2 linked regions of the Macaca mulatta genome follow. The protein of the gene in region 2 interacts with the protein of the main gene of each other region in a pairwise test. Links are inferred from orthologs where the notes say so. Each region holds a gene or a part of one and is shown on either strand. Other genes may lie near its edges. The genes, in order: NCBP1 and RNF40.

Region 1 (4,320 bases), on a different chromosome or scaffold from region 2:
TTCTATATATAAAGTATACACGTTATAATTACATATTTTATGTAAAATATATATATGTAAATATATTATATATTCTATTATAGTATTTTATATATAGAGAGAGAGTGAGTGTCAAGCATATGAAAGTCAGGGCAGAGACTGACAACAGCTGACAACTGTCCAGAAATGCTCAGATGCACCTATTTAATTCTGACTGTAATAATTCCTAGCCTATTTTAAGATAGCCTTCTATAATCCTTAAGCTTCTAAGAGTTCTCATTTTTAAAAAAATAGATGTTTAACTAAAAGGAAAGTATCCAAAATAATCTGATTCAGATCACTATGTAGGGTAAACTCCAGCTGATTGTTATCCAAATTGTGGCAATTTACAAAAATTTCAGATTTGCTGTATTATCAAACATGAACTGTATCTGCCTCTCCCATACTAAAATACCAACCTTAAAAACTTTTGCTTAATGAAGGCCTTGTTTTACTTGTCTTATTTACTCTGAGGTTCCTGCAGCAAGACCCAAATGGACAGCGATTTGGCTGCAAGCTGGTGTTAAAATGAAGCCAACTCCAAGAAAGTTATGTAAGTCTCCCAATAACCAAAGCAAAAGTTATTTTTCTACATATTTGCATTCCAATTCTCTAGGATGCCCTACAATGACATTTCCTCTCTCTTTAGGGATTACCTATAAGTGAGAGAAAGAAAGCATAAGAACAACAAAGAAATTGGAAAGAACAAAACACTCAAGTTCTCCAACCCCCAAGTAATGACTTGAGAAGTATATTAGTTTTTGATTAGTCAATTACAAAGCATAAGAAAATTGTATTATCGGCGGGCGCAGTAGCTCACATCTGTAATCCCGGCACTTTGGGAGGCCGAGGCGGGTGGATCGCCTGAGCTCAGAAGTTCAAGACCAGCCTGGGCAACGTGGCGAAACCCCGTCTCTACAAAAAATACAGGGAAAAATAAAAATTGCTGGGCGTGGTGGCCTGCGCCTGTGGTCCCAGTTACTCAGGAGGTTGAGATGGGAGGATCACTTGAGCCTGAGAGGCAGAGGTTGCAGTAAGCCGAGATCGCGCCACTGCACTCCAGCCTAACAAGAGTGACACTCCGTCTCAAAAAAAAGGGGAGGGGATTGTATTTTCTGTGCCTTGCACACAGGTTACACAAGAAGCCTCTTGTGTTAGAAATCAAAGCATGCAGCATAGTTATTTAATTTATACCTGGGTAGTGAAGAGAGCCCCGGACTGGATTTGCTATTGCTGGTGTTTGGGAACTGACAGCTGTCTCTCCGTGTTATGCTCAATCTCTAAACCCTTAGGTGTCAGATGAGAAAGCTGGACTAGAATATCCTCTCAAACCACGCCTTCGTAAGAAATCTGGTGTTTCACTATTAAAACTAAATGCGTGCGATTCTGCCTCCACCTCAACTGCCACAACACTCAAGGAGAGACAAACGTTAATGGATAAAACTTACTCAATTTAAAATGTCTGTTACGGTTTCTTTTCTTACATTGACAGCATCTGCTAACGTTTACCGCCTCTTAAGCGCTGGCAAATGATTAAAACATCATCGTTGCTGATGTGTATTACCTCATCTAACCTTCACAAAACCCAGAAGATATAAGTATCATTACGTCTATATTACAGACTAAAGTTTAAGGAGATTACATAACCTGGAAAAGATCACCAAGTAAATGGTAGGGTCTGGCTTTGAATCTAAACCCTCTGGTTCCAAAGTCTCACCTCTTAACCACTACTCTACACTCTCTTCAAAAAACAATACACTAAAACGTTAACAGAATTACTCTAAGTTTCACTTTTTTGGTGTGTGGATTTGTGTTTTTGACCGATTGTAAGGCTTATGTATAATATAAGCATTTTTTTGTTGTTAAAACTAGAATTATTCCGTCTTTATGAAGACAACACTATGATCTCCACGAGCACAATCATCCAAATGCAGATGGGAACCCCTGTTCTAACTCTCTGAGGCCTGAAGTTAGTTTTCTAGCACTCTCTCTCACACGAGGGAAATGCGCTTACGGCCACTTCAAAATCTGCAGTAACCTGTGTCTGTTTATTAGGGACCTCTTGGGCGTGGGTAAGACAATATTCTTTCCCTGCAGCTCGAAATAAGGGAAATCAACGGATGACCACTACCGGAACAGAGTTCAGATTGCAACTCATGAGATCTCTCAGTTCTTTCCTTCAGTGAATTCTTCCGAGCCCTTCTCAGGTGCAGCTTTGAAGGTTAAAACGAGACACTGGGACCAGTGGGTCCCTAAGACGCGGCAGCACGGACACAGGTGTGCTTCCCTGCTCGGTGGTGCTAAGGACCAAATTCTGAAGCCTCCTTAGAGACCAAGGGTCTACCCATGGGGTTCACCAGGCCTCCTTTCCCGAGGATCGGCCCTTGACTCAAAGAACTGGGGCGGGAGAAAAAAAGTCGCTTTCTAGAAGCCGCCCAGTCACACCGCCACTGTATTCCCCTCTTTCCCTCCGCGGCTCCCCACACGGTCCCGGGGAGAAGAGCTTCCAGTCTCTTCCATGGACACTCAAAGATGCCGAGCCTCGGTTCCCAACCGGGAGCGGCCTCCGCGGCCGGGCTGCAGGTACTCACCGTCGTTCTCGTCGCTGTGCCGCCGCCGCGACATGCTGCCCTCCGGTGCGCCGCGGAGCCCAGAAACCAGGCGGTAAGCGCCGAGGAAACTGTCCTGCCGCTGGCCGGCGCAAGGACAGCTGCGAGGCGCGCGGATGGGCCGGCACGCAGGCGCACTCGCTCGCCACGGCTCCCGGAAGCTCAGGAGAGGCCGCCGGGTGGGCTCGGCGCTGCTAGAGCCGGCGTGAGGAAGCTCAGTGGGCTACGGGCGTCGGGCACACACGCAACCGCCCCCTCAGGCTGCCCCCGCCTGCCGGCTGCTTCTTTCTCCCGCCTTCCGCTCTGTGTCCTTCCGGGGCCACGCAGAAAGTGCCGCCGTTTCGGCCAGTCAGAGACCCCGGACCGCTGTCGTCGTACGCCTGAAGGCGGGTGGTGCCGGCGGCCGCTCTAGTCCCCGCCTCCGCTCAGGCCGGTCCTCCGGGGCTTCTCAATGGTTTTCCCGGCGGCCCTTGCGCCGACGTCCAGGAGACTTCCGGAGCCTGGTGACGTCACGAACGAGCTTTTCTACCCAAACACGCGACGGGGAACACACTGCAGGGCGGTGAGCGGTAACAATTGCTAGGTGGAAACAGTGCAGGGAAGAGAGACCTAAGAAAGGATCAGGACTGGCGGGTATGTGCTCGTCTACTCCCACTTTCTGGCTTTTGCCGCCTTGGGAAAAGTGGGCGGAGAGGTTGGGCCAAGCTCGGCATGCGGGGTGGGGCCTGGGCGGGAGGCGGTGCCGCACGTGCCTCCCCCTGGGTTGGAAAGGCCGGCCCTGACGCGAGCGTGCTGCTCCCGGCTTGCCGGCTGGCTGTCATTTTCCCTAAGTTGTTTGCTTAAGAAGGAACAAATGATTGTTTTAGTAATCAAGGGTTATTGGGTACCTGTATGCCTGTGTGTGACCGTCCCCTGCCCTGATGTCTTTATGAGTACCATACTGGCTTATCTGCTTTGTCCATGGCCATCTGAAATTTCACTCTCCCGGCCTAATTCTCTTTCAGTCTTACCCATTTCAGTAAATGACGTCATCCATCGGCTGCTTAATCCAAAAATTTAGAGAGTCTTTCTTAGCTCTTTTCCCTCACTTTTTACATAACAATGATCTGTAAACCCTGCCTGTTCTCCTTTCAACACAAATCCTGAATCAGATCGTGTTACTGCTCTGTTTAAAAGTCTCCTGTGACGGCCGGGCGGGGTAGCTAACGCCTGTAATCCCAACACTTTGGGAGGCCGACGTGGGCGGATCCGCTTGAGCCTAGGAGTTCAAGACCCATCTGGACAACGAGGCGAACACTGTCTTTACAGGGAAAAAAAAAAAAAAAAAAAAAAAAATTAGCCGGGCCTAGTGTTTGGCTCCTGTAGTCCCAGTTACTCGAGGGGAGGGTTGGGGGCGGAGGTGGGAGGATCCCTTGAGCCCAGGAGGTCGAGAATACGGTGAGCCGTGATCACACCACTGCACTCCAGCCTGGGGGACAAAGCGAGACCGTGTCTTAAAAAAAAAAAAAAGTCTCCTTCGACTTTCCATTGCACACTCCATACCATGGCCTGTGGAGTTCTACCTCTCCTCACTGTACTCCAGACCCTCTTTCTGTTCGTACAATAAGTCAAGCTTGTTCTTATTTTAGGAACTTATACTGTTTCCTTTACCTGAAGGTCTCTGGTTCTAAATCTGCGTGACTGGCTCTTGGTC
Region 2 (3,806 bases):
GATTAGTAGTCTTCAAAACCACAACCACCAGCTAAAAGGGGACGCCCAGCGATACAAGCGGAAGCTTCGAGAAGTACAAGCTGAGATTGGCAAGGTAAGAAGGGGCCTGCCTGGGAAAAGCTTTGGCTAGACTCCAATGAACAACATCTGACTTCATCCTTCTTCCTCTCTGCCTTTGCAGCTCCGGGCCCAGACCAGTGGCTCTACCCACTCCACCCCCAACCTGGGCCACCCAGAGGACTCTGGCCTCAGTGCCCCAGCCCCAGGGAAAGAGGAGGGTGGGCCAGGCCCTGTCAGTACCCCCGACAACAGAAAGGAAATGGCTCCAGTGCCTGGCACCACCACTACTACCACTTCAGTGAAGAAGGAGGAGCTGGTCCCCTCTGAAGAGGATGTCCAGGGCTTAACCCTTGGGGCCCAGGGCCCTTCCTCCCGGGGCCGAGAACCCGAGGCCAGGCCCAAGCGGGAGCTTCGGGAACGAGAAGGTCCTGGCTTGGGTCCTCCACCTGTAGCCTCCGCTCTCTCAAGGGCCGATCGGGAGAAGGCCAAGGTGGAAGAAGCCAAGAGGAAGGAATCAGAACTCCTCAAGGGTCTCCGAGCAGAGCTCAAGTGAGACTGTATTCCTGTCTCCTTCCTGACCCTGCCAGGTGGCCTCCAGTCCCACTCACCAAGACTTCCTCCTGTACCTCCTTGCCAGGAAGGCCCAGGAGAGCCAGAAGGAGATGAAACTGCTGCTGGATATGTACAAGTCAGCACCTAAGGAACAGCGGGATAAGGTGCAGCTCATGGCAGCAGAACGCAAGGCCAAGGCCGAGGTGAGGGCAGCTGGGGCTTGTGGGACATGCAGAAAGGCAGAACAGAGTCCTAGGTCAGCAGGAAGCAGTGTCAAGAGAGTTCCTTTTTCCCTGTGCTGTAGGTTGATGAGCTGCGGAGCCGCATCCGGGAATTGGAGGAGAGGGATCGAAGGGAGAGCAAGAAGATCGCGGATGAGGATGCCCTGCGGCGCATTCGGCAGGCAGAGGAGCAGATAGAACACCTGCAGCGCAAGCTGGGTGCCACCAAGCAGGTGCGGCCCCTGTGTTGCCCTCGCCTCCGAATGCAGAGAGATCCCTTCAAACCCTGTTGGGTGCCTGTAGTGCCTGCAGCACCTTGATGATCTGGGTCCCCTCTGTGGTTCTTTGCTTTGCTGCGTTTTCCCATGGTTCCCCCATAGCCATCCTGTCCACTTCCCATGTTCCATCTTGTCTCCTCCCACTTGCTGCAGGAGGAGGAGGCTCTGCTCTCAGAGATGGATGTGACAGGTCAGGCTTTTGAGGACATGCAGGAACAGAATGGGCGGCTGCTACAGCAGTTGCGGGAAAAGGACGATGCCAACTTTAAGCTGATGTCAGAGCGGATCAAGGCCAATCAGATTCACAAGCTGCTGCGGGAGGAGAAGGATGAGTTGGGCGAGCAGGTCCTTGGCCTCAAGTCCCAGGTATGGCCGCCCCCAGCTTATAGGGTGGAGCTGGAGAGGCGGGGGTCATGCCCCTGAGTCCTCCTCTGGTCCTTAGGTGGATGCCCAGCTGCTGACTGTGCAGAAGCTGGAGGAGAAGGAGCGGGCCTTGCAGGGCAGCCTTGGGGGTGTGGAGAAGGAGCTGACGCTGCGCAGCCAAGCCCTGGAGCTCAACAAGCGGAAGGTGAGGCTGGGCCAGGGGGACACACAACTTGGGCTGCTGGCTCACCTCCTCACCTTCCGGTTCTGCTCAGAGCACCCAACGCGATAGCCTAAGATGAAGCCAGGCTGTCACAGAACAGCTCACACATCCTGAACATTTACATGCGCCAGGCCACATGCTGAGTGCTTGACATGCTTGGTCACATTTCAGTCTCATTAATCCTATCAAGATGGTGTTTACGGGTTTGGGGGCTCACGCCTGTAATCCCAACACTTTGGGAAACAGAGGCGGGAGGTTTGCTTGAGGCCAGGAGTTGGAGACCAGCCTGGGCAACATAGTGAGACTCCCATCTCTACAAAAAAATTTTAAAATTAGCTGATTGTGGTGGTATGTGCCTGTAGTCCCAGCTTCTCAAGTGACAGGCTGACAGGTGAGAGGATCACTTGGAGGTTGAGGCTGCAGTGAGCTATGATCACACCACTGCACTGCAGTCTGGGTGACAAGGATGAGACTCTGTCCCTAGGAAAAAAATAAAAGGTGGAAATTTTTTTTTTTTTTTTTTTTTTTTGAGATGGAGTCTTGTTCTGTCGCCCAGGCTGGAGTGCAGTGTTGTGATCTTGGCTCTGCAACCTCCACCTCCCAGGTTCAAGCAATTCTCCCACCTCAGCCTTCCAAGTAGCTGGGATTACAGGTGCGCACCACCATGCCCGGCTAATTTTTGTATTTTTTTTAGTAGAGATGGGGTTTCACCATGTTGGCCAGGCTGGTCTCAAACTCCTGACCTTGTGATCCGCCCACCTTGGCCTCCCAAAGTGCTGGGGTTACAGCGTGAGCCCCCACGCCTGGCCGAATTTTGTTTTTAACCTCATTTTATAAATAAGGAAACTGAGGCTCAGGGAGGTGGACTGATATGCTCAAGAGGGAGTGGCCCTGGTATGTGGGTCCAAGCCTCCTTGACTCCAGGCTCTACCTTCTAACCACTCACTGGTGAACTGTAAACTGGGGATGATGTGCCCTCTCACATAGTTGTGTTAAATATAAGAAATGTCTAGCTTTGGCTAAAAGCTTAACATTAACATTGATTTCCATTTCCTCTGAAGCTGTTTTCTTCTCCAGTTAGTTCATTCATTTAAGCAGTGTGTTTGTGGTTTTTTTTTTTTTTGGTTTATTTTTTTAGACGGAGTCTAGCTCTATTGCCCAGACTGGAGTACAGTGGCTTGGTCTCAGCTCACTGCAGCCTCTGCCTCCCAGGTTCAAGCAATTCTTCTGCCTTAGTGTCCTAAGTAGCTGGGACTACAGGCACCTACTACCACACCCAGCTAATTTTTGTATTTTTAGTAGAGACAGGGTTTCACTGTGTTGGCCAGGCTGGTCTCAAACTCCTGACCCCATGATTTGCCCGCCTCGGCCTCCCAAAGTGTTGGGATTACAAGCGTGAGCCTCTGCGCCCAGCCCATTTAAGCAGTATATTTTACACCCCTGCTATGTACTAGGCCTTGTGCTGATTGCTGTGGAGACGGTGGGAACTAGAAGGTCCCTGCCTTCCAGTCAAAGCTGTAACTTCAGGTCTTGGCAGGCAGAGCAGGCCAGTAATCCCCCAAATAAAATAGTGCAGGTCACAGTATGCCTTATGCAGGAATCTGAGGTGCTGTCAAAGAAAAAAGGGGAGCCTCTCAGGAGGTGACTCTTGAGCTGAGGCCCGGGGAGCTGTGCGTGTGTTGGGGAAGTTGAGGGGAGCAAAGAGGAGAGCCTTGTGAAGCCTCAAAAACCAGACAGCATCACACAGGGGAGGAACTTGAGAGGGAGAACAGGAGGGAAGGGCTCAGGGATCAGGAGGCAGGAGTAGCTCCAGGGCAGGTGTCACTGGGGCACTGGACACAAGCATCGGTGGGCCGTGGCTCCACATGCCTGAGTCACCAGGCTCATACCAGTGCCTCCTTCCTGTTCCACTCCACTCAGGCTGTAGAAGCCGCCCAGCTGGCCGAGGACCTGAAGGTGCAGCTGGAGCATGTGCAGACTCGGCTGCGGGAGATCCAGCCCTGCCTGGCAGAGAGCCGGGCTGCTCGTGAGAAAGAGAGTTTCAACCTCAAGAGGGCTCAGGTGCGTGCAGGGTGAGGGGCCAGGCTAGGGTGGTCCATGGTCACGGAC

What was found.
Region 1: the proteins of RNF40 (region 2) and NCBP1 interact in binary tests that used the Homo sapiens proteins (3 or more experiments, as listed by UniProt). The two-hybrid records come from large-scale screens. The link is inferred for Macaca mulatta from reciprocal best matches to the Homo sapiens genes RNF40 and NCBP1.

Annotation. Positions count from the first base shown.
Region 1 is NC_133420.1:60,766,008-60,770,327, forward strand, and holds the start of NCBP1 (nuclear cap-binding protein subunit 1), read right to left. Parts: upstream 2,891-4,320; 5' UTR 2,644-2,890; coding exon 2,610-2,643; intron 1-2,609. UniProt on the Homo sapiens protein: Component of the cap-binding complex (CBC), which binds cotranscriptionally to the 5'-cap of pre-mRNAs and is involved in various processes such as pre-mRNA splicing, translation regulation, nonsense-mediated mRNA decay, RNA-mediated gene silencing (RNAi) by microRNAs (miRNAs) and mRNA export.
Region 2 is NC_133425.1:29,393,163-29,396,968, forward strand, and holds part of RNF40 (E3 ubiquitin-protein ligase BRE1B), read left to right. Parts: coding exon 1-94; intron 95-181; coding exon 182-609; intron 610-697; coding exon 698-815; intron 816-916; coding exon 917-1,066; intron 1,067-1,264; coding exon 1,265-1,477; intron 1,478-1,553; coding exon 1,554-1,679; intron 1,680-3,617; coding exon 3,618-3,758; coding exon of another isoform or gene 3,759-3,773; exon of another isoform or gene 3,774-3,787; intron 3,788-3,806.